Linked DNA regions of Mus musculus. The protein of the gene in region 4 purifies or fractionates together with the protein of the main gene of each other region. This does not show direct contact. Links are inferred from orthologs where the notes say so. Each region holds a gene or a part of one and is shown on either strand. Other genes may lie near its edges.

The links.
Region 1: the proteins of Rnf7 (region 4) and Asb7 purify together in Homo sapiens (co-immunoprecipitation; 4 studies listed by BioGRID and IntAct, with this or other methods). This does not show direct contact. The link is inferred for Mus musculus from reciprocal best matches to the Homo sapiens genes RNF7 and ASB7.
Region 2: the proteins of Rnf7 (region 4) and Spsb2 purify together in Homo sapiens (co-immunoprecipitation; 3 studies listed by BioGRID and IntAct, with this or other methods). This does not show direct contact. The link is inferred for Mus musculus from reciprocal best matches to the Homo sapiens genes RNF7 and SPSB2.
Region 3: the proteins of Rnf7 (region 4) and Asb1 purify together in Homo sapiens (co-immunoprecipitation; 3 studies listed by BioGRID and IntAct, with this or other methods). This does not show direct contact. The link is inferred for Mus musculus from reciprocal best matches to the Homo sapiens genes RNF7 and ASB1.
Region 5: the proteins of Rnf7 (region 4) and Rab40c purify together in Homo sapiens (co-immunoprecipitation; 4 studies listed by BioGRID and IntAct, with this or other methods). This does not show direct contact. The link is inferred for Mus musculus from reciprocal best matches to the Homo sapiens genes RNF7 and RAB40C.

Annotation. Positions count from the first base shown.
Region 1 is NC_000073.6:66,644,562-66,648,061, reverse strand, and holds the end of Asb7 (ankyrin repeat and SOCS box protein 7), read left to right. Parts: exon of another isoform or gene 1-136; coding exon 137-276; 3' UTR 277-3,497; downstream 3,498-3,500. UniProt on the Homo sapiens protein: Probable substrate-recognition component of a SCF-like ECS (Elongin-Cullin-SOCS-box protein) E3 ubiquitin-protein ligase complex which mediates the ubiquitination and subsequent proteasomal degradation of target proteins.
Region 2 is NC_000072.6:124,806,171-124,812,702, forward strand, and holds Spsb2 (SPRY domain-containing SOCS box protein 2), read left to right. Parts: upstream 1-2,747; 5' UTR 2,748-2,860; intron 2,861-3,056; 5' UTR 3,057-3,135; coding exon 3,136-3,799; intron 3,800-4,098; coding exon 4,099-4,229; 3' UTR 4,230-4,446; downstream 4,447-6,532. Other genes in the region: Tpi1 (triosephosphate isomerase), read right to left, coding at 5,099-5,217, 5,347-5,434, 5,712-5,797, 6,234-6,366, 6,451-6,532. UniProt on the Homo sapiens protein: Substrate recognition component of a SCF-like ECS (Elongin BC-CUL2/5-SOCS-box protein) E3 ubiquitin-protein ligase complex which mediates the ubiquitination and subsequent proteasomal degradation of target proteins.
Region 3 is NC_000067.6:91,537,845-91,544,925, forward strand, and holds the start of Asb1 (ankyrin repeat and SOCS box protein 1), read left to right. Parts: upstream 1-2,720; 5' UTR 2,721-2,968; coding exon 2,969-3,020; intron 3,021-3,046; exon of another isoform or gene 3,047-3,291; coding exon of another isoform or gene 3,292-3,331; intron 3,332-6,306; coding exon of another isoform or gene 6,307-6,311; coding exon 6,312-6,453; intron 6,454-7,081. UniProt on the Homo sapiens protein: Probable substrate-recognition component of a SCF-like ECS (Elongin-Cullin-SOCS-box protein) E3 ligase complex which mediates the ubiquitination and subsequent proteasomal degradation of target proteins.
Region 4 is NC_000075.6:96,468,689-96,474,238, reverse strand, and holds the end of Rnf7 (RING-box protein 2), read left to right. Parts: intron 1-233; coding exon 234-281; intron 282-2,386; coding exon 2,387-2,505; 3' UTR 2,506-3,302; downstream 3,303-5,550. UniProt on the Homo sapiens protein: Catalytic component of multiple cullin-5-RING E3 ubiquitin-protein ligase complexes (ECS complexes), which mediate the ubiquitination and subsequent proteasomal degradation of target proteins.
Region 5 is NC_000083.6:25,915,267-25,922,442, reverse strand, and holds the start of Rab40c (ras-related protein Rab-40C), read left to right. Parts: upstream 1-2,728; 5' UTR 2,729-2,791; intron 2,792-2,893; 5' UTR 2,894-2,936; coding exon 2,937-3,078; intron 3,079-7,176. UniProt on the Homo sapiens protein: RAB40C small GTPase acts as substrate-recognition component of the ECS(RAB40C) E3 ubiquitin ligase complex which mediates the ubiquitination and subsequent proteasomal degradation of target proteins.

The DNA.
Region 1 (3,500 bases), on a different chromosome or scaffold from region 4:
GACACTTGAGAATCTCGGTCAGTCCTTTGACTGTAAGATCCACAGTAGACCCTTCCTCAGACAATGCCTTCCCTCACATCCCTCCCTCTCCAATGCTTTGTACCTCTGTAACGTTCTCTTTTCTCTGTCATTTTAGGACAGCCCAGAACCCTGCAGGACCTGTGCCGAATTAAAATTCGACAGTGTATAGGCCTTCAAAACCTGAAGCTGCTTGATGAGCTACCAATTGCCAAGGTCATGAAAGACTACTTAAAACACAAATTTGATGATATCTGATACACCTGGACTGTGGACAAGATTACGAGTTATTCCAGATACTTAAAAGGCTTCAGGCCTTGCACAAAGTATATCCTATGCAATTTCTGATTTGCGGTCAAGTCAGAAAGCAGGTATACACTTTTAGGTTTATGTTTGTTTGGATTTCATTTGGGGGAGGGATCTGTGTGTGTGTGTGTGTGTGTGTGTGTGTGTGTGTGTGTGTCTACACTCACACATACACACCCCACGCTTGAAGGTCTTAATTTGGTTTCTTGGTCCAAGTCGATGAGGTCCAAGCCTTTCTATACAATACTGCATTTAGAAAATTTGTTTTTCCTAAGTGCACAATATAGACAGGTTTGAAGCAGAGAATTTTCCCTTTTGATGCTCTGGTTTCATTGGTGAACACGGTACTAGGAACCAGTAGACGGAATACTTCTTAAAGTTTGGAGGTCTCAGGCTCACCTCCTGTGATCCTGGGTGATGCTGGAAAATTCTCTGTGAAGAAACTTACAGTAATGCTGTCGCCTCATTCATTTTTAATGAGTACAGATGAGCTGTTTAAAAATCCTTTTTCCCTTCTAATTAATGTAGCTTTCCGATGAAAAAAACCAACCCAGGACCTCGGCTTCCTTTGGTGTGCGCTTTTTTTTTAAATTATTTTTTTTAACAACTGTAAGACACTACCCTGAAACATTGTGTTTCAACTCCCCCACCCCCTCTCTTATTGAATTGTGCTTTTAAAACAAAATCAATGGGGAAAGGAATTAACTTTTTAAAGCCAGTGTATTCTGTTTTTTAAAAAACAAAACAAAAACAAAAAATGGTGCCTCTTGTGCAACTCTCTTGGTGTCGTCTCTGGATGGTTTGCTCTTCCTGTTCTTCAGTTGGCTTCCTTGTGCCCCTTGGAGCCATCATCACCACCTCCATCCCACAGCAGGCCACCAGGATCACCTCAGTTTCCACCTTAAACTTTGTGTTTTATTTCACCTTAAAGAACAAATTTCATATTCTGGTGATGACAGAGGTCCCTAGAAATAGCCCACATTCTTGCTAAACCATTCTACTTTAATGACTAAATATTTCAGGGTGGTTTCTTGGTGGATTTTTTTGCCTTCCTGGTAATATGTATACATATATATTTTAAGGGGAAAGTCTCTAATGGGCACCCTTTTGTAAGCCTGGCAAATTGCTGATACGCTAATTAAGTATTTCCTGTCTATTTTGAAGGTGAGTACAGTAAAGCTCTTCAAGACAAATATTTTAATTTTCTGGGTTGGTTGGACAAGTATGTGCAAGAAAGACCCGGATGTAGTAAAGTGTTAGTAACAAGGGGGAGGGCCCAGAGGCCCTAGGCATCATGGGTGTTCCTGGGGACACACACTCACTGCTTCATTTGACGTTATGTTAGTTTGAAGACACCCCCTTTTAAGTTCCCCATGCCATTCTTAGTGCTGTGACAAATTTTTTAAATATTTATAAACTGTTAATAAATTTGCTATCAAAAGGTTGCAGGATAAGGGCTTCTCCTTTCTTGTCAGAATTGCCAGTTTGAAGGCATAGAGGGTAAAGTCTTCCCCTCCTAACATAATTAAGCAGAATTAGGTTTCCCTGAGTTCAGGCTAGCAGTGTTGTTCACTCAAGCCCAAAGCTTGCCGTCTTGGCCAGAGTAGCTGTGACCGCAGAACATTGGGTTTGCGTGTGCCTAGGTGGCACAGGGATTCCTGAACAGGCAAAAGGATGCTTCAGGGACTTGCTGATGTGGCCCATAGCCTCCTTCAGGGAGAGCATGAGGCCAGAGTGATAGCTGGGACCCAGGAAGATAGGGATGGCTGTGGTGACCCTGGCTGAAAGGTTACCTCCATGGAGAGTCCCCTTCTAAGGCACCTGCAAAGCTGTGTTCTCAGTCTTTATTCAGGCCCCAGGTCAGGGCTGGAGACACACTACCAGCCTTAGGGACACAAAGTGACCAGAAATTAGTTGAGTGTAACTTGTGTTAGAGCCCCAGCCCAGCATGGAAAGTGGTGGGAGGAGAGCTGAGAGTCTGGACTCTGAGCTGCCATATTAGTGTCCAGTTGCACAGGAATCATACATGAAAATTAATTTATTTTGTAAGTTAAAAGTGACATTCACTTTCCAGCCATTCAGAGGGTTCTGAACTAAGCCACTGAAATCGAATTGAATCAGGGGATCCCAAATAAAAAGATCATATTAAGGCAAATTCTTTGTGCTGTTTACTGCTGTGACTTCAGAAAAAAAAACAAAAAACAAAAAAACAAAAACAATTCTGAGTGCTCTTCCAGGAATTGAAAATTCTATTTAATGAAGAAGTGTATAATTCCATTATTTATTGTTTGTGGTTTGATTTATCTGGAAGCTTGAGAGAATGTCCTTTGTTTATACTAGACCCCAGTCCTGTGCTGTATTCTATGGTAACGGAAGGGCTGTCCAGTTGCTGATGTGGTTGTGGTGACCATGCAGGTCTGCCCCTGAATTTGTTATCAGAGAAGCAGTCTGTGGCCCTAGGAGAGAAAACAGCCCCTCATAACACAGCCCGTTGACTCAAAATTCACACTGAGTCTTTTGCGCTTCTTTTGAAATTTATTATTTAAGCCTATTACTAAAACTTTATAAAATGCATTTGGCGAATACACCAAAGAAACCAGCTCATAAAATATGATCATTAACGAACTGCAAACCTCATCTTTTGAAAACAAGGGTGTTTCTTTGTAAATATTTGTGTTTATAAATGTACAGCAGAGTTAAGAGTGTTTTTTTAGATTATTTAATTCCCATATTTCTAAACTATTTACTACAGAATAACCCCTGCTTATTAGTTTGGGTGACTTGATTGTTTGTTTTTTTTTTTTTTAATTCATTACCAGTCATGCTTGGAGTGACGATTCTGCTGGAGAGGTCAGCACTCTGGCAGTGGCTGGAGTCGCTTGTAAAGCATGGGGGAGACTAGCATGACCTGTCAGACTCCTCCCTCGTAAGACACCAGGAAAGCGTAGCTTAATGGCCAGAGTGGACCATGAGAAAGAGTTTCTAACTTCCCTACTGAATCACCTGTTAGCCCAGGGTGGAATTGGGACAAGGCTGTTTGCCCACAAATTTAGCTTTCATGTAACTCCCAGTGTGTTGTATCATAATATATTCTGTTCTTTCTTTGTAACGTAAGTTTTGCTTTGGGTCGATTTGAATTAAAAAAAAAAATCTTAAATCTGGTTTAAAAAAAATAC
Region 2 (6,532 bases), on a different chromosome or scaffold from region 4:
TCCGCCTCCTCCTTGGCGTCACCTGGTGGTGTCACTGCTCAGGCCTTGTTTAGGCAACCATATTGCTGCAATGTCGCCGGTGCAGCTTCTCTGTCCTATAAAGAAGTCTCTCAGCAGGTGTTCTAGTCTCCCCTCCACACCACCCCATTTTTACTAGCGCTTTAGTTCTGGCGAGGCTGAAGCTAACTGAATCTAAACCTTCCGTATAAGTCTGTAAAAACTGGAATAGTCTATTCTGAGAATAAAAGGTTGAGTTTTATAACAGACATATTGCACACGAACTCAACAGGGGTCTGGTTAAATAGGGCAGTGTGGCCAGCTTGTCAGATGGAAACTGAACTGGGGTTCCAGTGAGCCCAGTGCGGACTTTCTCTGTGTGGCTTAGATCTGTTTTGTTTTTTTTTTCAGTTAGGATGCATCACACTAAGGTACCTTGTCTCTTTACAACAGGACCCAATCAAAGGCAGCCCAACCATCTGGAATCTGGAAGAAGCTGGGTCTAGCACTCGGAAGGCAGAGGAAGGCGGATATATGAGTTCGAGGCCAGCCTGGTCTACAGAGCAAGTTTCAGGACAGCCAGGGCTAACACAGAGAAACCCTATCTTGAAAAACAACCAAAAGGGGAAAAAAATCAATCTGGAAGAAAAGCTGGCTTATTAGGGCTAATAGTGTGGGATTTAAATATATACAACCATGGCTTGCTCAGCCTGCTTTCTTATAGAATCCAGGACCACCTTGCCCAGGGATGGCACCACCACAATGGGCTCCCCCGTGCCCCACCCCCAACCTCACATCAATAACTAATTAAGAAAATGCCTAAGCCAGGAGTGGTGACGCAGGCCTTTAATCCCAGCACTCAGGAGGCAGAGGCAGGTGGATTTCTGAGTTTGAGGTCAGCCTGGTCTACAGAGTGAGTTCCAGGACAGCCAGGGCTATACAGAGAAACCCTGTCTCAAGAAAATGCCACCACTAGATCTGGCTATAAGGCATTTTCTTTCTTTCTTTCTTTCTTTCTTTCTTTCTTTCTTTGTTTTTGTTTTTGTTTTTGTTTTTGTTTTTGTTTGAGACAGGGTTTCTCTGTATAATCCTGGCTGTCCTGGAACTCACTCTGTAGACCAGGCTGGCCTCGAACTCAGAAATCCACCTGCCTCTGCCTCCTGAGTGCTGGGATTAAAGGCGTGCAGCACCATGTCCAACTGGCATTTTCTCAATTAAGGTTCGTTCCTTTCAGATAACTCTAGGTTCTGGGTCAAGCTGACACAAGGCTACACAGCACAGTTTGTATGCCACATTCAGTTCAGAAGACACCCAACCTCCCTGGAACTGGAACTTATGCACATTTGTGAGCTTCCACTTGGGAGTGGGAACCTGAACTGGGTCCTCTGCAAGAGCAGCCGTGCTCTTAACTGCTGAGCCATTTCAGCAGCCTCACATCAGAATTAAGTTAAAATTAGCCGGGTATGAATCATACCCTTAGAATCCTAGCATCTGAAAGCAGAGCTAAGAGAAACAGGGATTCAAGACCAGCTCTTGGCTACAGAGCCCGTCCTGTCCTAGGATGGGCTACAAGAGACTATTTCAAAGCCATCCAAACAACAATAACTACAACAACAACAAGGTTAAAATTAGGCTGGGCACAGGGTACACACCTTTAATGCCAACACTCAGGAGGCAGAGGCAGGCTGATCAGTGTGAGTTTGAGTTCAACGTGGTCTACATAGGGAGTTCTAGGCCAGCAGAGGTTACAGTCTCTCTCTCTCTCTCTCTCTCTCTCTCTCTCTCACACACACACACACACACACACACACACACACACACACACACGGTGGCATTATGGGATTTTTTTGGGATAAGGTTTCTCTGTCTAGCCCTGGCATAGATTCACTCTGTAGACTAGGCTAGCCTTGAACTCAGAGATCCGCCTGCCTCTGCCTCCCAAGTGCTGGGATTATAGGTGTTGCACCACCACTGCCCAGCCACTTTGGGATTTTTGAACTGTTATCAAGAGGCTTTCGAGGAGGTCAAACTTCAACAGCAACCTCTCCATGATAATGTAGCTAATGATCAAACGACACTCAAAACTAACCCTTAAAGCACACATCCACCAGACAGCGTGCCCACTCGTAGTTCCATTACTCAGGAGGCTGAAGCAGGAGGATGAAGGACTAAGGCTTCAGCAACCTAGGGAGCCGCAGGGGACAGTAGTCTCAATCCCTACATTCTCCTGAACACAGGAGCAGGAGTTCAGGAAGGGTGTCAAGGCCGCTTACTGATCTTAGGGCCTCAGGAATGACTAGCTCAGGCAGAGAGAGCAAAGGTCTCCAGTGGAGAAGTCTACACACACACACACACACACACACACACACACACACACACAGAATCCAAGGCGATGACGTCATCAAAGGGTTAATTCTAGTCTGGGATGGGGGGGAGGGTGGGGCACGCAGCTGTCAGGTGGCTTTGGAAAAATAAACTGCTGAAGAGTCTGACGCCAGGGAGTCCTGGGAGGGACAAGAGGTTACCCACTCAAAGAGTGTGCTCCACAAAGCATGCGCGCTTGTCCACGTCTGGAGTCGTCACTTATTTTTTGCCTGGATTCTTTGTAGCCGGTGGGTTCTCAAGGCGGTAAGTGGTGTGGCCGCCGTGGTCTGGGAGGTGACGATAGGGTTAATCGTCCACAGAGCCCAGGGGCGGAGCGCGGGCGGGCGTCCGCAGCCCCGCTGGAGCCGGAAGCAGTGGCTGGTCAGGGGCGCTTCTAGCCTTCCCTATCTGTACTTCCACAGAGGTCTCTGCGAGCTAGGGGGACAGTGAGGTGCGGGGTAGGGGCCCGGCGTTAGAGCCAGCAAGGGGACGGTTCACGGTAAGGTCTGAGGGAGAGAGAGCTCCTGAGAAACTTGGGGGGCGCGACACAGATAGGGTGAAAGCAGAGTGATAGACCTGGGATGGTTAGGGGACCAAGGGAAGACCAGGCTGGTTGGCATACACCGGTGAACGGATGGGAGTCCTAGGGAAAGATGATGCGCCTAACAGTCCTTTCTGTCTCCACACCACTCCAGGGGACGATCCGGAGCTCAACTTTCAAAAGCGAGACGCCCCAGCAAGCCTGTTTTGAGAAGTTCTTCAGCGGCTCTCCTCATGGGCCAGACGGCCCTGGCAAGGGGCAGCAGCAGCACCCCTACCTCGCAGGCTCTGTACTCGGACTTCTCTCCTCCCGAGGGCTTGGAGGAGCTCCTGTCTGCTCCCCCTCCTGACCTGGTTGCCCAACGGCACCACGGCTGGAACCCCAAGGATTGCTCCGAGAACATCGATGTCAAGGAAGGGGGTCTGTGCTTTGAGCGGCGCCCTGTGGCCCAGAGCACTGATGGAGTCCGGGGGAAACGGGGCTATTCGAGAGGTCTGCACGCCTGGGAGATCAGCTGGCCCCTGGAGCAAAGGGGCACACACGCCGTGGTGGGCGTGGCCACCGCCCTCGCCCCGCTGCAGGCTGACCACTATGCGGCGCTTTTGGGCAGCAACAGCGAGTCCTGGGGCTGGGATATTGGGCGGGGAAAATTGTATCATCAGAGTAAGGGCCTCGAGGCCCCCCAGTATCCAGCTGGACCTCAGGGTGAGCAGCTAGTGGTGCCAGAGAGACTGCTGGTGGTTCTGGACATGGAGGAGGGGACTCTTGGCTACTCTATTGGGGGCACGTACCTGGGACCAGCCTTCCGTGGACTGAAGGGGAGGACCCTCTATCCCTCTGTAAGTGCTGTTTGGGGCCAGTGCCAGGTCCGCATCCGCTACATGGGCGAAAGAAGAGGTGAGATACGGACTAGGTGTGGGGAGATCACTACTCTTGGCAATGGTTTGGGCTGGAAACTCATGGTTGGAGCACAGGAAGTAGGCTTCTTGTCACTTTGGCCTGTCACTTAGATGGCCTTGGATCTAGCTTCACTCCCAATCCCTATTGGATGTGATGCACAAATTCAGAGCCTTTGGGTCTCCCTCAGCTGAGGTGGCGGTGGAAATGGAGGAAGAAGGAAGGGTGCCTGAGCAGGATCTCAAGTTCAAGGATGCCTGGAGTTGCTTACTTACCTTGTCTTCCTTCTCTCTCCGCAGTGGAGGAACCACAATCCCTTCTGCACCTGAGCCGCCTGTGTGTGCGCCATGCTCTGGGGGACACCCGGCTGGGTCAAATATCCACTCTGCCTTTGCCCCCTGCCATGAAGCGCTATCTGCTCTACAAATGACCCAGTAGTACAGGGTGTGCTGGCACCCTACCGTGGGGACAGGTGGAGAGGCACCCGCTGGCCTAGACAACTTTAAAAAGCTGGTGAAGCTGGGGGGGGGGGGCTGGACCCCTTCACCTCCCCTTCTCACAGGAGCAAGACATATAGAAATGATATTAAACACCATGGCAGCCTGGGACAAAGAGGTTTTTGAAGTAAAAAATGAGATGTATTGTCACAACCTGTTTCATTATTGTTTTTTGTTTTGTTTTACACTCCCCCACCCCAGGCTAGAGCCCCATCACTGTCTTAAGGAATTATGACAACCCACAAAGCTCAGGCCCAGGTGTTTATTTCCCTTACATGTAGGATGGTTCACAAACACAATACAGGGGCTTTGGCACCGTGGGGGAGGGGACTATCCCAGGCCTCTTAGGGTCTCATGTATACCGAATTCAGACCCGAAAGCTCTGAATTTCTGCATCAGACATCCAGTAGAACTTGGGAGTGAAGCTAGAGCCAAGGCCATCTAAGTGACAGGCCAAAGTGACACGAAGCCCACTTCCTGTGCTCCAACCATGAGTTTCCAGCCCAAACCAATGGAAGGTGATTTCACTTGTCAGGGCCCAAAGGGACAGTCAGTTCTACTCCCTCCCCTCACTAGGAGCCACCTTGGTGACAGTTGATTCTACCCACTGTAAGTGGTAAAGGGATTGGCCTGGTCCCAACCATAATAGGGCGGTGGAAACGGCTCAGGAGGGTACAGCGTGGATTAGGCCACAAGATGGGGCAGATGATGTCATCAGAAGCATGTGACCGGTGGGAGCAGTTACTAAACTTCTGGGCAACCTAGTCCATGCTATGCAGGCAGGTAGAGGGATGGGCAGTGCTCATTGTTTGGCATTGATGATGTCCACAAATTCAGGCTTGAGAGATGCGCCACCCACAAGGAAGCCGTCCACGTCAGGCTGGCTTGCCAGCTCTTTGCAGGTTGCTCCAGTCACAGAACCTGTACCAGGAACAAGAAGACAGTTTGGTCAGGTCTATGATCAGAACACTTAAGCCCCACCTCTCTGTGCAAGGCAGCCTCAGTCTGTCTTAGCCCATTTCCGTCTTAGCTAGAGCCAAAGCCACTCACCTCCATAAATGATCCGGGTGCTCTGAGCCACCCCATCATTGACATTGGATTTCAGCCATCCCCGGAGCTTCTCGTGTACTTCCTGTGCCTAGAAGGAGGAGGCAGAGCTACTAAGTAAGCTCCTTCCTATCTATCATTCAAGGAGTAAAAACCACTGGTTCTCACATAGAGTTGAGTTTCCAGAAAAGCCCCGGGACCAGAGAGTGGCAAGGCTCCAATCCCACCAGGCTTGGAATGAACATTTTTGGCAAAGTCACTCTCCTTGGTGAGTTTGGGGGCCCTCTGTCTCTAAAGGGGCTTGGATGGGCTCCATAGCTGTGTGAGTCTGTTAAAGCCGGACAGGCTGAGGAGCTCTGGGTAGTTACCTGCTGAGGGGTTGCCGTCTTGCCAGTCCCAATGGCCCACACAGGTTCATAGGCCAGGACCACCTTGCTCCAGTCTTTCACATTATCTGTGGGGCAGAGAGGAGAGTGAGTAGGAAGGAGCTGACCCGCCAAGCTCTCCTGTTATAACAGTTATGGCCTACAGCCCCTGGTGGGCTTCTCCTTCCCCCTTTTAGAAACAACTTGTGCGTGCGTGTGTGCGCGTGCGTGTGTACAAGCTATAGCACACATATGAGGGCAGAGGACAACTTGTAGAAGCTGGATCTTTCCTACCACGTGGCTGTCTTTGGAGGACTCAAACTCAGGGCCTCAGGCTTTACCCACAGACCCTGCTAGCTTTTGAAGGTGGGGTTTGAGCCTTCTGTAGGAACAGTGACAAGAACCATTCAGGTCGCCCTCTTTCCCCGGGGTCAGTATGACTCAGGCAGGCTGTGGGACCTTTGACCTCCCGCCTCCATCCCTGTGGCCTTTGCTAGACTCAGAGAGCCGTGTCTGCAGAGATACCTGCGATGACCTTGGTTTGCTCGAACACGACCTTCTCGGTGATGCCGGCTTCCCTTTCGTCTAGCTTCTCCCCGATGCAGGCGATCACCCCGAGTCCCTCTGCTAGGGCGTGGCTCACTTTCTGGCCAATCAGCTGTTGAAGAACAAATGCTAGGTAGGTAAGATACCCTCTCCCCCAGGATCAAAGCATCCCCTATCTCCCCTCCTGTTTACTGACCTCATCTGATTCTCCAAAGACATGTCTTCTTTCTGAGTGCCCCAGCACGACCCAGGTGGCTCCTAAGTCTTTGATCATGCCA
Region 3 (7,081 bases), on a different chromosome or scaffold from region 4:
TGGGGCTGGAGAGATGATGCACGGTGGAGCACGGGCGGAGCAGGGTTCAGTTCCCAGCACCCAGCACCCAGCGGTAGCCTCCCCCAGCCTGAAGCGGGCTGGTACAGACCTTGTCACCACTGAGGTGCGGCCACCTGCGGGGCAGCTTTCTGACTTGGCTGGCTCCTTTTGAAGTGACAACTTCCCTGCTCTTTCTTCTGCTACCTGCCGAGAGGCTGAACCTGTCTTCCTGAGACATTCCTGAATGTCTGGGTGACAATCTGAACAGCCTGGCGACCAAGTGCTGACAAAATGGTTCTAGGCACCAAGAATGGCCTGGGGGGGGGGGGGTGGAGGTGGGGGTGGGGATGGGCCTTCCCCCTTTATAAGCACACTCTCTTAGTAAACTAGTGGGCCTTGATCAGAGAAAAATTGTCTTGGCTTCGTTATTCCTTTCTTGCAGTCTAAGTCTCTTTCAGCCCCAGCCTGCCTTCCAGAAATACCCGGTTCATGTAGGCTGAGGGCCGGCTTACTCCACCCAGCACCAGCTCACCACTGCGTGTCAGTCCAACTCCAGGCTATCTAATCCCTCTTCTGTCCTCTGAAGACACCAGCACACACATGGTGCTCCCAGCACGCACGCACGCGCGCGCGCGCACGCACACACACACACACACACACACACACACACACACACACACACACACACACACACACACACTTTAAATAAATATAAAAATAATTCTGCCAGCTGTGGTTGTATACTTTCCCAGCACCTGGGAAGCTACTGCAGGTGGATCTCAATGAGTTAAGGCAAGACTCATTTACATATCAGCTCTGGGCCAGCCAAGGGCTAGTAAGATCTTGTCTCCATTTGCCCTACCCCACCCCCAAACCCCTTTTAAAAAGTATTCACTTCCTATTCCTCCTGAGATAGAATAGAAAGGCAAATCATGGAGGTATGAGGAGGAAGAGGAGCCCTTTACCTTTACTGAGGAATTTGGTTGAAGCCTCTTGCCAACAGAGAAGCAGGAATTCCAGCACAATTAACTGCTTAAAGCTTTCCTCCCTCCGCACTTATGCACCTGCAATTTTCCAGGACTCTCACTAGAAACTTTTACAGGAAATGGACATGCACAAAACTCATGCAATCAGTGGCTCCTGGCTTTATCAGATTATAATTCCATCCAAGGTATGTCTGAAGCCACCCCATAATCTCATAGACACACACACAAACACGAGAGAGAGAGAGAGAGAGAGAGAGAGAGAGAGAGAGAGAGAGAGAGAGAGAGAGTGTTAGTTTCTGAGTACTCTTGAGATCTAAGTTGAGAGCCATCAAAATGGTGTATATAGTAGCTAGTGCTAAGGATTGTGACTCCCTTGAGGAGCTATACTTGGGTGTGTCTTCCATAGTACCTCTCTTCTAAGTCTTTAGGTTAAAGTCTAATGTTAAAGTATTTTAAATAAAACCTCAACATTGCTTCCATTAGTCTTAACAAATTTTTTTTTTCCCGAGCCAAAGCAGTAAGTCCAGTTTTGCTTGAGTTTTGGTCTCAACGAAGTTCTCAGGCTAGGGTGACAGCCTGGAGTTTTATCTCTGTCCCCTCACCCGTGACACTCCCTTTTCTGGAAGCAAACTGACACCTACTATTCCACTCTGTTTCCGAAGCTGATTCCTTTAGTGACCTATGTGTGGAAGAGTGCATTATTTGTTCGTTATTGCTGGCTTATTTCACTGAGCAGAGATCCTCCAGGGTTGGCCATGTTGTAACCTGGGGCAGAGGCTTTTTAAAGGATATATGGATGGCCACGACACCACATTTTGATGCGCATTTGGGTGGTTTTACCCTTGAGGTATCCCAGCCAGGGATGTGCAGCCGTGGAGCAGAGCCATAAGGCTGAGCCACCTCTGGCTCTTTGCCTTGCAGCGTCATTGGTGTCACCTGTCCCTCGTGCCAACGGTGTTATCAAGACCAAACACCACTGCAGGAATCTCCCCGCTCCCCTCAAAACCCTCAGAGCCCGTGGCTCTGTTCCAGGATGCCTCACACAGCTCCACAGACCTGTGCAACTGAGCCAGTCTGGGCACGAGGATTTGTTGGGCACCTATAGTCGCTAGCTCCCAGCTGGTGTGCCATGACCACACAAAGATGCAGACAAGTCACAGCCGCGGTGTTGGAGACTGTGGCCTTGCCTCCATCTCACAGGACAGCGGGGCGCTTCTGTCTCCTTAAGGCGCGGTCTCCCCCCGGTCCACTGGGGTCCTCCCCCTGCAAGGTACCTTCCCTAAGTTGTGTAGAGGAGAATGAAAGGACCCGACAGCGTCCATGCTTAAGAACTGTTCGTAACGCAACGCACACAGTGTGACCGATGTAAAATCGGGAGTGCTTGAGGGAAAGCCACTCTGTCAACACGCCTTGACCAAGTTACAGACACTATTGGCTCCATGGAGACATTCTGGGCTGCCTTCGTCTAACACAACTTTGCAAGTCACCGACTCGGAAGGCACCGTTTGGAGTCTCGTAGAAAGGACAGCAGCGCAGCCCCACGTCACTCAACACCCTTCAGCCGCTGCGATAGCGGACCACAGTCCACTGGGCCGTAACGGTCCCGCCCACGTCCCGCCCTCCAGTGGGCGGGAACAGAATCGACCAACCAGGAGTTCCTGAGGCATGCAAATAAGCCTCCGCCCCCAGAGGAAAGGCGTTTCCCCAGAAGCTGCTGCTGTTGCCTCGGGAGACGCAGTTTGGTCAACCCCGCTAATCAGCAATCAAGTCCGTTAGCCAGGCCGGAAGTGGAGACCCCAGCACCCTCCGTCCGGAGCAGGAAGTACGAAAAGGAGGCTCATACTCCCCGGAAGCCGAGCCCTGGACACGCCCACCTGCCGGAAACGCCGGCGGTGCTTCTCTGACAGCGTTGCTCTCTGACAGGATTGCTGCGGAGGTGGACAGGCGGCGGGGTCAGGGCGGAGGCTGAGGACCAAGTAGGCATGGCGGAGGGCGGGACCGGCCCCGATGGACGGGCCGGCCCGGGACCCGCAGGTAACGTGCGCGGCTAGGGGTAGTAGGGAGCGGGGTTGCGTCTTGGGGTCAGAGTGTCCCTTGGGCGTCCGGGACTCGGGTCCTCGGTCCTCGCAGGCCAGATCCGAGGAATCGCGCCCGGGGTCAGTAAGTGTGGACGTTAGGCTCCGCGCGGCCCTAGGCGCGCGCCCCCGCTCCTGCCTGGCCTCTCGTGGACATCCCTCCCACGGAGGTTTCTTTCTGGTGGAGCTAGCCTTGTAACTGCCACCCTGTTAGCCCATCCCCGTCAGCGATGACCCTGGCTGGACCATGGGGTTCGGATCTTCTTCCAGGTATGAGCTCACTGGTCAGTAAGGGCCCTCAGAGGTCAGCCTTCGTGCGGACAGGTTCCCTTTCCCCATCCCGCCAGCCAGTCAGCGCAGTAGCTACTGGACAAACGTCCTCCGCCCCACCTCCACCCACCTTAACGACAGTGCTGTCCCCAGAGAGCTTGCTAGTGCCACAACTCTTACAGGGGCGCTTGACCCACCTGCAGAAAAAGGGTGACACTTGCCACCTGCCTTAAAGCTGCTCCACTTTGCAGTGCTGCTACAATGGAACTAACAATTCCCAGGAGAGTTTCCTGGTACGGCGTCCACCTTGGGGTCTTTCTGAACCTGCTGGTAGGTGTTTGGTAGGTGTGCTTCTGCACCCATCTCTGATTTTAGAGTTCACTGAGCTCTCTTCTGTATGCAGAAAATCTGAGAAAGCCACAATGTTGGTACAGTCTCTTGTCATTCCTCCCTCCATCAATTCAACAAACTTTGTGGATGATGTCCTATTGGCCTGACTCACCTGGGGCTATCGGGGTGACATGAAAAAGCAAGGCAAGGCCTCTACCACCAAGAGCTTTGGTTGTCATTGAATTTGATCTCAGGGACAGACAAGATCTTTGAGTGGATTGACCTGTCATGCAGGAATGAGAAATGGGAGAGAGGTGGTTGGTCAAAGGGTAGCTATTTCTTAAGGTACAGAATAGTCCTGTGGAAGAAAAAGTGGTTTTGCACCCCACCCCGACCCCAGTGTTGTTTTAGTGTCTGTTCTGTTTGTGTGTTTCCAGCTTGGGTAGAGGCACAGGTCTTCAGTGGGTAGTTGGATTAGATGATCAGAGAAGTCCGAAATTGAAATGGCTTTCGGCTCTAGAACTGGAGGAGATTCTGAAGGTCTGTTGGCCTGGGCTGGGAGTGTAGAGGAGAGGTGAGCTAAGGGGGTCCAGAGACTTTCCGAAGTCCTCTGGTGCCAGCCATTTTCCTAACAGTTACCCGGTACATCTGAATCCTCCCCAACTCTGGCTTTAAATTTTTATACTGTGCTGTAGTTACAGTGATGAAAGGAGGACCTGGAAGCGCCTTACAGATCCATTTCCAGGCTAGATAGATGCCTGCCTGTTGGTCTGCTGTGCACCAGAGTGAACCGAATAGGTTTTTGTGAACCTTGTGCTGCCTTGGTCTCAGCCCAGTCAATGGACTTTCAGGCCGCAGAGGGCAAGGATACTTAGTCGTCACCACCGTGTACCTATAGGAGAATCTGTAGGGGCTCAACGGATATTGTATTCAAATATGGAAACACATCAGCGACTAGAAAAAGCCTGCCTGTGAAGGGATATGTTTGGTAACATGCTAGGACATCCCCACAGGGTGGGAGACTTGAATCCAAGCAGTTAGAATTTGTGCTGTCTTTATTCACCTGTTGGTGCAATGCTTTTAATAAAGCTTTTCAGTCTCCTGGAGTTAGTTTGGGCTGTGATGTGAGCAAAGATGTATTTCCAAGTAGGTGATTAATTGTTCAACTACTTTCCACTGGCTGTATGTCTCACTCTGATTTTATGCCTGCTTATTACAGTTGAGCTGTTTATATTAAGATTAAAGTCTTCCTGGAGAATTGATTCTGCTTTTTGTTTTTGTTTTCTTTCTAGTCTGGTGAGAGTTTTGTTATCTAGTATGGTAGGGTTCCTTCCACCTGTTATTCTTACTAAAACAGCAACAAAAGCTATTTTCCCTTATGTATATCTACAAATACAAGTTTGAAATCATTTTGGTATATCTGATATCAAATTTCTGAAGAAACTGGATACATTATATTTATAGGGAACCCTGAGAATTTCTCTAATATTGAATCTCATCCTAGTACATGATACAGTCTTTCTATTCACTTCTATTTTTTTTGTTGTATAGGTTGGACTTGTATTTATGCACATATATTTTAGTTTTCTATTTTATTGAGGTATGATTCTCTCTCTCTCTCTCTCTCTCTCTCTCTCTCTCTCTCTCTCGTGTGTGTGTGTGTGTGTGTGTGTGTGTGTGTATGTATGGAGCTCAGAGGTCAACATTTAGTGTTTTTCTTACTCCACCTTATTTTTGAATCAAGGCTTATGTATTTGGCTAATCTAGCTGCCAGCCTGCCCAGGGATCCATGACCCTAAGCATCCTCCAGTCTCTGCCTCTCCTACCCACGTTGGAATGGTAGGGATGTGTAACTGGTCTTGGCTTTTTATCTTTTATATGGTTGTTGGGGATCTGAGCTTCAGGGCTTATATTTGTGTGGCACACACTACCAAATGAGCCATCTCTCCAGACTCTTGAACTGTAATTTCTATACAAACAAATAAAGGTATACCTTTGAGGCTTATTCCTTGTTATTTCATTTTCACTGATACAGTAAACTCCCTGAGATAGTCTAACTATAAAGAAAAGAGATGTGTTTAGTTCACAGTCATGAACACTGTGGGGACAGTTGTACTCTGCTGAATTGTCTCTTATCAAGACACATTGTGACGATTTTACAGAGCAGTGTGGTATGGAACTCATTCACCTTCCAGGAAAACAACCCTTGCTTGGCCCTTGGCTTTTGGCTAACCAGCTATTTTTACAGTAAAGGAGATGACTACCATTCTCCTTTCAAATGCCCCAATTTAAACATCTTCTTACATACATGATATAAATTAGAGTAATTTCATGCTGGGTTTTTTTTTTTTGGCATAATATTTCAAACTTCAGTTTGTACTACTGTTATATTTTTCCTTGTTCAACAGACCATCACATTTTTTTCTTTTATTTTTTTTAGAAAAAAAAAATCTTATTGGGTTTGGTGTCAGGAATGTGCTAGTTTAAAAAGGGAAACTTTCCAGCTTTCTCTTTTAAATTATTTTCTGGGAATTTGAATGTTCTCTGTGTGGCTAGCAGGAGGGAGCCACTGGAGAAAGGCAAAGCATCCTGTTTGGTCAGCCTTGCCAGTGTTTCCGCACCCTGATAAGAGCCCCTCTCTTCAGTGCAGGTCCTAATCTGAAGGAGTGGCTGAGGGAGCAGTTCTGTGACCATCCACTGGAGCACTGTGACGATACAAGACTCCATGATGCAGCCTATGTAGGGGACCTCCAGACCCTCAGGAACCTACTGCAAGAGGAGAGCTACCGGAGGTGAGCATTGGGCCGGTAATGGGTGTTGGCCTGTGGGCCTGCAGGAGGCTGAGGCTTGTGCTTTGGATTGCAGAACAAGACTCTGATGCTGCAGGACTGCAATTTGCTTTTAGAGGAGGGACAAAAGGAGGAATTATAGGTGGCCAGATGCAGTGGGCAGGGGTTCCTGGAGCCAAGTCTGCCTGGAATTGTTCTGGTAACTTGTCCTATGTGAGCATCAGTTTCCTCAATGTTTTTTATTTTATTTTATTTTATTTTATTTTATTTTATTTTATTTGAAACAGGATCCCACTCTGCAGCCTTGGCTGTACCAGAACTCATTATGTATACCAGGCTGACCTCAAAGTCATAGAGATCTTCCTGCCTCTGTCTCCTGAATGCTAGGATTAAAGATGTGCTCTACCATGCCTGGCTATTTTATTTATTTTAATTGTGTGTATATGAGGTGTGGGGTGGGTATCAGCATGTGAATATAGGCAACAGAGGCCAGAAGAGCTCTTCCATTTGAACTGGGGTTACAGGTGTGGTTGTGAGCCATCTGATGTGTGTGTTTGGAATTGAACTCAGGTCCTCTAGGAGGGTAGAACATGCTCTTAACCACTGAGCTATCTCTTGAGCTAGTCACTAT
Region 4 (5,550 bases):
CCAAGCTATTTTGTCATAAGAACTTGTAACATCATCACTGCCCTTGTAAAACCGTGGTGAGTTGTGGAATGCCATTTATTTTATTTCTCTTTAAAGAGTTGTTTTTAGATGAGAAGTTAATATTATAAGACTTCTCTTCATCTCTGATCCTCGGGGCTTTTGTTTGGCTTTGAGGGTCTGGGTCTTCAGTGGCCTCCTGAACTAGAGACGAGATTGGCTTTGTTTACTTTCAGATGCCTGCCTTCGATGTCAAGCTGAAAACAAGCAAGAGGACTGTGTTGGTGCGTGGTCGTTCTTTCTCCTGCCTTTGCAACTCAAGGTTTTTCTTCTGTCTCTGTGGGAATGTTTGAATTTCCAATTAAAATTGGCTTTATTAAACTCGCTGTGGTAACCCAGGTCTGTAAATCCAGAAGTGGCAAGGTTGAGGCCAGCTTTTGCTGTGTATTGAGACCTGTTTTGGGGGAGGGGTGGGATGGGGTGGAGGCTTATCAGTACATAAAAAATAAACCAGAAATCAGAAAGCAGTGATTAATTATGAATATAAAATGTTAGGGGCTGGGGAGATGGCTCAGTAGGCAAAAGTTCTCGCCTCTCAAGCCTGTGAACTAAATTTGATCTCTGGAACCCATTTAAGATAGAGAGAGAGATGGCTCCCAAAGGCCTCTGACCTGCACATGAAGCTGTGGCATGCACCTCCCCTCCCTCCCGTCCTGTACACACAATTATAAAAATAGTTTTAAAGACAAAATCAGGATTAAAACTAAAAGGGAGTCTTCTAACAGAAGGCTCATGGTAAAACATCTTTTTAATAAATAATAAAATGTTTTATTTCTCAAAAGACCTTAATAAAATAGATTTGCAAATTCTTTTTTTATTATAATTAAGACTTGGTTATATATTTTATTTATGGTCATATTTTTTTATTTATTTTTTTATTTTTGGTTTTTCGAGACAGGGTTTCTCTGTATAGCCCTGCCTGGCCTTGAACTCAGAAATCTGCCTGCCTCTGCCTCCCAAGTGCTGGGATCAAAGACGTGCGCCACCACTGTCCAGCCATAATAAATGTTTTTGCTAAGCAAAAAGAAATACTATCTCCTATTAAGAAAACTGCCGAACCAGGACTGGTGCCACATACCTGTACCCCAGCAGAGGCAGAAGCATCACTGCCAGTTGAACACTAGCCTGGTCTGTCATAGCAAATTCAGCCAGTCAGCTGTGCAGTGAAACCCTGTCTCAAACACACAAGAAAAGGAGGAAGTAGGAGGATAGAGGGAGGGAAAGAAGAAACATTTCAAGACCTGATCATGGTGGCTTGCATCTGTAATCCCAGCTCCCTGCAAGCAAGACTCAGGCAGGGTGATTACCATGGCCTCTGTAGTGAGTTCTAGGGAGCCTGGGCTATATGTGTAGCAAGGCTCTGTCTCAGCAAAGAACTCTGCTCAGAGAGATGCCTCTCTCCAGCCACTCTGCAAATCTGATTGTGAAATGAAGTGCTACACCGCTTGCTGGCATGGTGGCTTTTGGTTTGATTACCTGGTTTGGGGTTTTGGTCTCACTGTGTGGCCCTGACTTGGAACTTGCTCTGTAGACAAGGCTGGCCTTTCAGTGATCTGGAACCATAGGGTGTGCACACACCACGCTGGGTAGCTTAGCATGACTCCTCACTTGTAGAAAAGCAGCTCCCTGGGTATACAGCTGCTAATGGTCCTGCCCACCATCTGTTTCTAATAGCCAACGCTAAGTTGTAAAACACTATCTTGGTAAATGAAAACCAGGAAGGATGCTTTTCAATAAAAGCACAGAAGATCCCTAAGGATGCCTGCCCCATGACTGAGGGGTCTGGGATTCTAGCAGGTTCAGGTCCCTTTAATCTCCTAATTTAAGACAGTGGAGCTATTTAGGATCTAGGATTGTGGCTTCACCCCCAAAACACAGTGGCACATTAAATATTTTTGTAAATAGAAAAAAACATGTTTTGATCACTTACCCAACTTTTCTCAGAATTACGAGTCATGACTATTTTCTTAGTTTTTAAACTATAGTTTAGAATTTAGTAATTTAAAATTTTAGAATATTTACAATTTTTGTTTTGATAATTTCATATAAGCATATAATTATATAATATATGTTGATTTTGCCCACCCCCTGCTCGCCCCTACCACTCCCCTGACATCCCCTCCATGTGTCCCTTCCTAACTTCCTGTCCCCCTGAACTTAGCTATTTAAATTAAACTGTCTTGTCAGCTGATTTGTTTGTACATTTGTTTCATTGTCTGATTTTTAATACAGATCTTGCTTTGTAACAAGTGGCTTGGGTCTGAGCCCCTCCCGCCTGGTGCTCAGATCACAGGCCCAGCCACCCACTCAGCTGTTCTCTCTCTTGCAGTGGTCTGGGGAGAGTGTAACCATTCCTTCCACAACTGCTGCATGTCCCTGTGGGTGAAACAGAACAATCGCTGCCCTCTGTGCCAGCAGGACTGGGTAGTCCAAAGAATCGGCAAATGAGAGGTGGCCCAGGCGCTCCTGGTGTGGTTGCTGACCCTGGACAAAGACTAAACACTGCAGGGGATTCATCCTTGAGAGAGAGAGGATGCTGTGCGCCTTTGAGACTCACCAAAGGCTTGCTTTATTAATTTGTCTGTTTAGTTTTGGGAAATTCTCTACAATTAAGATAATTTGTTAAAAATGGCCTTTCCTACCTCTGGTGTGTGTGTGTGATACGAATGCATAGAAGAGCGAGAACACCAGAAAATGATCTTTGTTTATCTGTACCCACGACTGTGGGAACATTGTGTTCACAGAAGAACATTGTTTGTGTTTATGCTTGAGGGTTAAAAAATAGATAAACGAATGTTACAGTAACAAATAAAATGCATTGAAAAGCCGACTCCTCCTAATCCTTTTTGTGTTGGGAGAGAGGCAAGCGAGGCCACCCTGCTGTCTTCATTTGCTGTGAATGAGGATTTTAACCTGCACTCAGTGAAGAGGCGTAACTGTCGGGTAAACTGTAATATGGCGTAACTGTCGGGTAAACGGCTTTGTCTCCTGACTTCTCCATCTTTGACTTGGCCAGGAAGCCTGGATTGTTCAACCACTTAGTTCTAAAGAACTGTTTTCTGTTTTTGCGAAGGTTGTATTGTATGTTTTAGTCAAAATATTAGTAGGAAAATGCTTACTAGTATAACACTGAAGTTCATTATGCAATGTTTTAATAAAATATTGTGCTTTGAGTTATTAAAGTTTGATATATACTCTTAAAATCATTAAACTAATTCATCAATTAAATAATTTGAAAAAATTAATATGCTCTTTATTTGGCGGTAAAAATTGCTTGGAAACATGCAAACAAAAATTTTATCAGACTCTTCCAGTAGGGCTGGGAAGATATCTCAGTGTGTAAAATACTATGTGAGTCAGAGGACCAGACTTCAGTCCCTAGAACTCATGTGAGAGAGCTGGGCGTGGCAGCCCAACCCTGAAGAAAATCAGGGGTGGGAAGATGGCTTGGCAGTTTAAAAGCACTTGCTACTCTTGTAAAGGACCCAGATTTTCTATCACCCTCATTGCCACTCACAACTATGTAACTCCAGTTCCAAGGAATCCAATATCATCCTCTGGGTTTCTGTGGGCATTACATGTACAGAGTGCCCATATAAACATGGAGATACACATACATGGGGACAAATACTCATAGAGACTCTAAAAATTCAAATTGAGAATTCTGGAGGGTTTGAGACCGCCCCTCACTGCCCTGGCTGGACTGAACTTGAATGGAGGTTGGCCTCAGGCCTCGGCCCAGCCTCCCAATCACTGCGATTACAGGTGCGCACTACGCTGCCTCCTCGCCTATGCTCTTGTTAATTTGGTTTCTCTGAGATTTTTGCTTCTGTCAGATCCACTAAAGGCATTCAGATAAATATTTTCTAATTTTTCTAGGTACTAAAAGTATACAAATGTTTTCAGTTATTTGAATGTGCCTGTCATTGTGTAATTAACTATTCATAGAGTGTGAACCAGGTGTTTAGCTTCGCTGTAAAGAGAGTAGTCCCCCATCGTGTTCATAGGTGGCTTTGACAGTTCATAAGTGGATTCTGGAGGGTTCCACCCAGTGAGACTCATAACAAAGCCCTGTTTATTGCTACAGGTCAGGATCTGAGGGTAGAGGGGGGCGGGGGAGTGAAACAAGCTTAGTTCTGTTCCCCGCCCCCTTGCTGGCAAGACAGCCCTCATCTGCACAGCCATCCCTGAGTTCCGTACATACTCTCTTACCAGGAAAAAAACATGCAGAGGCACTTTAGTTGTGGGTTCCAGAACCATTAAGCAGGGTTTCTCTCCAAGTAATTAAATGATATTTAATGTCTGTAATTACATATTAGTGATTTTTATCTTAAAACTATAAAATATATAAAGAGCAGTTCAGTGCTTCCGTTTGTCATGAGTAGTTCCCTGCTGTACAGTGGTGTGTGAAGTGAGCTCCTCTGTGTCACGTGGTCCCCACCACCTCATAAGCTGCCCCACCCACACCACCAGCTCTCCCCACCATCCAATTCAAAAAAGGTCACACTTCTGTGTTTGTTTGTTTGAAGACAGGGTTTCTCTGTGTAGTCCTGGCTGTCCTGGAACTCACTCTGTAGACAAGGCTGGCCTCGAACTCCAAAATCTGCCTGCCTCTGCCTCCCAAGTGCTGGGATTAAAGGCGTGCGCCACCACTGCCCAGCTGAGTTCACACTTCTAAAACTTGTTTTGGGAGGCAGGACTGGTTTCCTTGGAAGAGCAATTTTAAGTGACTGACAGAGGGCTGTTCATATGTCACTGCCACCGCCTCTTAGAGGCACCAGAAGAGCAAAGGAATGAATTTCCTTAAAAGGTTAGGTTCTCTATGTGCTGGGGATTGAACACTTACTGCCTTTGCTCAAGTGACGGTACTCCCCTAAAGAAGGTTTTGTAGAGCCAAATGTTGTCCTGTGAAAAATAGCACTTGGGAGGCTGAGATGGGGGGATCATAGCCATGGCTTATATAGAGAGACCCTGTTAAACCATGGGAAAAGGTTACAGATTTGGATATAAAGAATGTACGTAGTACTTAAAGTCAAAATGTTTGTATTCTAAACTCTGTACTAAACATTTTAATGGTGTGCCAAAACACTAAAAATGTTCGATGTTTGCATGAAGTTATTACTCCAGCACTTTTACATGGTCTGTAGCTCACACTGGCCCCAACCTCTTGATCCTTCTTGAAGCCTTGTATCACCACACCCACCATACCACCTTTATGTCATCCTTTCTCTTGTGGCTAGGTTCTGTACAGCAAAGTATGTCCCCCAGGGAAAAGATACGTCTATAGTTTGATATTTTTAATAATAGCTGGGAGTTGGCGGGGAAGGGGGGTGGGGGAAGCTGACTTTGATTTGTCACCTCTCCTCTCTATGCCTCAGGTTCCACGCGTGGTATTCCAGCATCACTGGATTGTTTGAGAGCCCAGGACTGTTACTTTCCTGTCTGAGGAGAGAGTTTGTCATGGCAGGCAGAAAAGGCCGGCAGCAGATGGAT
Region 5 (7,176 bases), on a different chromosome or scaffold from region 4:
CCCACCTAACCTGCTTAGGAGGAGGTCCTTGCCTTCCCAGCAGCCAGGAGAGCTGTCAGCTGTGGACACATCTGTGCTCAGCGGGCACCTCATCACTGGTGGCACACTGCCCAGACTTGTGTTCAGTGGTCATGTGAAGGAGCAGCACCGAGTCGGCACTGATGTTATCCTTTCTTGGCCTCCTGTCTCAACATCCCAAGCAGCTGGGCTTATAAACTTCTGCCATCACAGAGTTTTGGGGTTTTTGGTTTTGGTTTTTTTGTTTCATTTTGTTTTTGAGACAGGGTTCCTCTGTGTAACAAGCTCTGATTGACTGTCATTTTGTAAACCAGGTTGGTCTCAAACTCAGAGATTGGCCTGCCTCTGCTTTCCCAGTACTGGGATTTACATGCCCTGTCCAAATTCATTCTTGGGGCTGGAGAGATGGTTTAGTGGTTAAGAGCACTGACTGTTCTTCCGAAGGTCCTGAGCAACCTCCTGGTGGCTCACAACCATCTGTAATGGGATACGATGCCCTCTTCTGGTGTGTCTGAAGACAGCAACAGTGTACTTCCATATAATAAATAAAGTCCTTTAAAAAATTCATTCTTGTGCCAGTCTTCATACCTTTTTATGGGTAATACTTTTCACCATATCAACACACCTGCTTGCCATCTGTTTTCTAATGATATATGTGTCTCATTGTTTTGCCTGCATGTATGTAAGTGTGCCAAGAATGTGCCTGGTCCTGGAGAAGTTAGAAGTAGGCATCAGATCCCTGCCTGGAACTGGAGTCATGACTGTGAGCTAACAAGTTGGTGCTGGGAACTGAACCCTGATCCTCTACTAGAGCAACGAGTGCTCTGAACTTCTAAACCAACTCTTCATCCAATCCCTCATTTTATCAGTTTCTTATACTTGTTTTTAAATGTGCATTGGTGTTTTGCCTGCACATTTGTCTGTGTGAGGGTGTCAGATCTGGAACTAGTTACAGACAGTTGTGAGCTGCCATGTGTGAATTCAGTTGTGAGTTGCCATGTGTGAATTGAACCCGGGTCCTCTGCGTGCACACATGCACACACACATGCACACACACACACACACACACACACACACACTTTATCTATTATCTGACAATGTTCAGGAAGTTTGTGTAAAAACTGTTCCAAGGTACAGTATATGTGTGACTGCAGCATGTGGAGGTATGTGGAGGTCAGAGGATAACTTTCAGAAGTCATTGCAGCCTTTCCCCCTGTTAAAATGGGCTTACACCAGGCCAGGTAGCTCTTGAACTGCTGGACAAATTCTCCTATCTTTACTTCCTTTCTTTCTTATTATAGGAGCCGGAGCTAGATGGAGATTACAGATGGTCAGTCACCGGAGGGAGATCGAACTCATACTGTTAGGCTTACAGTGCAAGAGCGTTGGTCCCAATCTATGTTTACGGTTTTTTTTGTTTTTTGTTTGGTTTGGTTTGGTTTTGGGTTTTTGAGACAGGGTTTCTCTGTATAGCCCTGGCTGTCCTGGAACTCACCCTGTAGACCAGGCTGGCTTCGAACTCAGAAATTCGCCTGCCTCTGCCTTCCGAGTGCTGGAATTAAAGGCGAGCGCCACCACGCCCGGCTTATGTTTTACGTTTTAAATTTTTTGCTATTTATGTGACTTGTGAATGCACTCTTAACCAAGAACGCTGTCCGTGGCCCTCCAGCCTTGGAGCTGGCCGACCGAGTGTGCACATGCAATGCGTTGCCCATCCTGGAGTTCACCGGGCCAACGCTGCTCAGTCGCTGGTCCAAGCCCTCAGGATCCGCTTTGGGAAGGATGTCCCCCACAAGAGACAGCTCAGAGGTGGACTTCAGCCGCCATCCTTGTGCCAAAACACTCAGTAGCGGCCCCGCCCACTCCGCAGCCAGGAGGAAGTCCCACCCCTTGGAACAGCCCACAAGGGAGAGAGGCTTGCCCCTCCAGGGCGAACACTAAGTGGCTGTCCCCGCCCTGCCCTCAGGGAAGGCGAGCCCCACAGTGTACGACGAACTTTGTTACTTCCCTTCTGGGTCTCTGTGAGAGCGGCCGGCCAACGCAGCTTGATAGATAACCTGCCCCCTTCCAACACCCTCCTCCCGGGACTCAGCTGAAGCAGGAGTTATCTCTACCCTTCCGCTTGTCCACGAGGGGGGAAGGGTAGACTTGTGTAATGTTTGACTCTTGATTGGCCCGAATTAGGAAAGGGGTGGGCCTAGGAGGTTATGATCGATGTTAGATGGCACAAATGCCTTAGCAGTAGTAGCCAATGGTGATGACGAGGGGGCGGGAGGCCAGGATGTTGCAGGTCGGTGCCCGGCTACTATGGCTCTGAGGCATCCTGCAGGAAGCAGTAGGGGTTGGGATGGACATGCAAGAGCAACCAATGATTTCGGAAAATCAGTGGGAAGTAGCCAATGGTCACAGCGAGGAGGCGGGGAAAAACGCCAGCCTCAGCAACACTGTGTACGAAATAGCGGGGACGGGACTTCAGTGATAGACAAGCATGTAGACCAACAGAAGTGAGAAAGAGGGTGGCAGCGGGCCAGTAGCAGTGGCGAGTGGGCAGGGCGGGGCGACCGTGGGCTGGGCGGCACCTTGTGTGGGGCGACGTGGGGGCGGGGCGACCGTGACGGCCAGGCTGCCAGGCCAATGGCCCGGAGAGGGCCGGCGGAGGGTGGCCAATGGCGGCGGCGCATCCGGGGGCGGGGCTGCGGGGCTGCGCGGTGCCGTGCGGGAAGCGGCGGGTGGCGGCGGCGGCAGCGGCGGCGGCGGCGGCTAGGAGGCTGAGGTGAAGCTGGCGGCAGCGGGGCGGGTGCACTGGGGGCGGTGGCCAGCGGGCGGGAGCATCAGCGTCCTGACCGCACGGCCGCTCACCAGCCTTCGCCCGCAGGTCTGGCGGCGGTGCCGTGGGCCGCGGTGCGGCGGGCGGGAGGATGGGCACCCAGGGCAGTCCAGTGAAGAGCTACGATTACCTGCTCAAGTTCCTGCTGGTGGGCGACAGCGACGTGGGCAAAGGCGAGATCCTGGAGAGCCTTCAGGACGGCGCAGCTGAATCCCCGTACGCCTACAGCAACGGTAGGCCGGGGTTGGCTGTGGGCGCGCGAGGTGGGAGCGGCCTGTCGCGGGAGCGGGCGGCCTCTGCGCGTGTCGCTGCGGTATCCTCTGGCCCTGCCTTGAGGAGCCGTCGGCAAGCGGGCGCGGGTCCTGGTGGCTACTAAGAAGTCACAGCAGCAGGTCTTTGGAGTCCATTAGGGCCTGGAATGGGCCGCGCGGCAGATACCGCACGACGGGCCCGGTGCTCACCGCACTGCCGCCGGAGGGGTTTGCTCAGAGACACCGCACCCTGTGCAGGGAGAAAATAGGTCTGCTGCGATGTGATTTTTGTTAACTTCCGGGTGCATGGCAAAAAATACACAAGGTAGATTGCATCACTGGCACTTGCCTGAGCTTGCCTCTTAATTTAGATATTTAAGGTAAAATCGTAGCTAACAGTGGGTGGGATTGGATCACAGGGGCTGCTGACTCCGGAGGAATTAATGTGCAGTGGGCCTGTCATCTTATATCACTGGACTAATTCTACCTTCCTGGTCGCTTCCCGAGTCCCTTTTACTCTGCTTTTTTACTTCATTCTCTGGGGTCTTGTTAGCCCTGTCTTACTGCTCTGAGTACTGGCGGTCTGGTAAATAACAGCTGAGTGTGTAGGTAAGACATCTACCACTCTTAGCAGTTAGGACTTGTCAAGGGTGATGACTGCCAGGACATCAGTGGAGGACCCTTCCTTTTGAACAGTAGCGCTGGATCTTCTCTGTAAGTCCTCCCCAAGCACCTCTCAGCTTCAGTTCACAGCAGGCATCTTCAGCGCAGGAAAGGAAGAGTCATGGTTTTACTTTGCAGGGTATGTGAAAAGACCTCTGCACAGCCAGGCAGCCTTGACTGGTATTTAACTGGGCGTCCCAGGGTGACAGCCCTGCTCAGAAAGGCTTTGGGGGGTTACCTTTCCAATGGGGGAGTGTGGGAAGGGCTGGGCTTGGCTTCAGAAATGCTTAGTGTTAACTTGTGCTTTGGAGAGACTGCTTGTCCCTGCTCCACTCTTCCTTTCCCCATCAGCTTCAACCACATATCCACACAGCCTCCTGCTGGATCCTCTTTCCTCCTCTCCTCTGTCAACGGAGTCTTGCCAGATTTCCTATGACGTGCTACCCGAAGTGGGGCCACTAGCACATAAAGAGTACAGAGGTGTGAGACTTACCATGGGCACTGTTCACCCACCCAGTGCTTTCACGATGCACAAGCTGTACGGCCCGTGTGGGTCCAGCAGTGTGAAGCACAGAGGCAAACAGCCTCAACAGCATGGTTCTCATGCTGGGTTGACATGCATACAGCACAGATATCAGGCCTTTGGGTCAGAGCATTGGGCCTCCTCAGAGAAGAGATTAGCAGTGGTAAAGCAGCTGGTTCTGGAGTGTGCGCACAGTGTGTATTTACTGTTTGAAAGAGCTGGACTTCTCGTTCTCTAAGTAGATAAGCGCATGATTCCTTTCTCTCACCATTATTAAACATCCTCTGCATGTCAGCCAAGTGCTGGTGGTGTAGTCCTTTAGTCCCTGTGCTGGGGAGCAGAGGCAGGCAGACCTCTGAGTTGGAGGCCAGTCTGTTCTATAGAGCAAGTTCCATGACAGCCGTGACTACCCAGAGAAACCATGTCTGGAAAACAGAAAGAGAACGTTCATTTTCACTTTTAGGTTTTTTTCAAGGTCCAGGGCTCCTCTGAGCAGGGTAGTCCCCACCTGGGAAGGAGTCTGCTGCTCCATATTGGCCCCTGATCTCCTTCTTGATCCCAGCTGGGTTATTTACCTGTCTCAACGTCTGGTCTAGCTTGTTCCTTGGGTGTGAACATCGCTCTCTCTGACTTTACAAACATGTGAGTCATCAAAACGACTTTTTTTTTTCTTTGATTAGCACTGACACCTGAAACAGTGACAGTACTGTGGCCACATGCCCAGCGTCTGCAGGAGTCCTCTGGTCTGGTGCTTTAAATACTTGTGGTTAGGGTCTCTGTGGAGTTAGAAACATCAGGGCATTGAAGACACAACAGTGATTGTGCCCAGCAGCAGTGATCTCCTCTCTGGATGGAACAGGACATTTTCAGAGAGCTTCATCTGGGCATGCATGGTGGAATTATGCTCCAGAGAAAAGGCGTTGTGGAGTCTCAGCTGTGGGAGAGGACAGGGCGGGGTGTGGCGGGGGTGGGGAACAGCCTTTACACACAAGCATAAAACAAATAAATTTGCCTCTGGTTCTGATATGTGGCATTGGGATGATAGGTCCCTGTTGGCCTCAAGCCAGCCAACTGGGTAGTTACCCTTGAACCCAGGAAACATTATTACTACAGCACACAAGACTGTCCTTGTTTGTGATATGGGCATTGTAAGACAGTTATATCTCGTCCTAGCTCATACAAAGACTCCTAAGTGTTGGATCCTTCAGGAAAATCCATTGTGGTTTATATGCTCATGGCCTGTTAATGGGTCCATGGGTGCTCCTTCATTTCTCTGTTCCTTTGGGAGTTAGTGTTTATGAAGGAAGCTGTGGAGTGATGCTGACGATGGGCATTGCCGAGAATGTTGGGATTTGATGGTTACAGAGATGTCTGTGGCATCAGATGATGCATTCACCTGAGAGAGTGAGGATAATGTGCCTGTGTCCCAGCATGCTGTGAAGACCCTGCTACAGGCAGGGCTGTGGTGTCAGATTAGTGACCCACTGGTCAACACCATTTATGGGAATCTTACTCCATGCTGCCTCTCATTGGGGTTGAATTCCATTTCTCTAAGTGACAGAGTCAGGGGGAGTTTTTTATTTTTATTTTTTTATTTATGTTTTGGCTTTTTGAGACAGGGTTTCTCTGTGTAGCCCTGGTTGTCCTGGAACTCACTCTGTAGACCAGGCTAGCCTTGAACTCAGAAATCTGCCTGCCTCTGCCTTCCAAGTGCTGGTATTAAAGGCATGCACCATCACTGCCCAGCCAGGGGGAGTTTTTAAGTACTTTATTTATTAATGGTGTGTGTATGTCCTCATACAGAGGTCAAAAGACAGCTTTTTACCGGACATGGTGGCACACATCTTTAATCCCAGTACTTAGGAGGCAGAGGCAGGTGGATCTCTTGAGTTCTAGCCAGCCTGGTCTACACAGTGAGTTTTAGGATAGTCAGAGTTACATAGTGATTCTCTGTCTCAAAAATACCTAAATAGAGCTGTGTGGTGGTGCACGCCTTTAATCCCAGCACTTGGGAGGCAGAGGCAGGCAGATTTCTGAGTTCAAGGCTAGCCTGGTCTAGACAGTGAGTTCCAGGACAACCAGGGCTACACAGAGAAACCCTGTTTCGAAAAACCAAAAAAAAGAAAGAAAGAAAGAAAAAAAACATAAGTAAATAAGGGGAAAAAAAGACAGCTTTGGGAGTTGGTTTTCTCTCTCACCCTTGTGGAGCATTTAGGGATTGAACTCAGAACAGGTCTAAGGAGCAGGTACCACATTGGTATTTTGCCTGAGTGTATGTCTGTGTACCATGTGCCAGACCTGGTACCAAACAAGGGCATCAGATGTCCTTATGCAGTTATAATAGACAGTTGTGAGATACCATGTGGGTGCTGGGACTCAAACCTAGGTCTTCCTCAAGAGCAACGGTACTCTTAATTGCTGAGCAAACTTTCCAGCCCCACTCAAGGGAAAAAAATTTTTTTTTCCGAGACAGGGTTTTTCTGTGTAGCCCTGGCTCTCTTGGAACTCACTCTGTAGACCAGGCTGTCCTCGAACTCAAAAAATCCGCTTGCCTCTGCTTCCTGAGTGCTGGGATTAAAGGTGTGTGCCACCATCGCCCGGCTCAAGGGAAACTTAAAACCCACTTTTGCATGTATTTTCCATTATTGGACCTGTCTTTAAATCATACACTCCATATGTCTCAATCATTGCATTATCTCCAGCACTATCACGAGTCTTGCCTAGACCCCCTTTTTTTAGTCATATGCTTTTGAGACAGGGTCTTGCTGTATACCTAAACTGTACTTGTTATCCTCCTGCCTTGGCCTCCCTAGTCTAGAACTCCAGATCCACTGTGCCTGATCTAAATGTATATTTCTGAGTGAATGAAAGGCCTCTATACAGCTTCCCTTGGT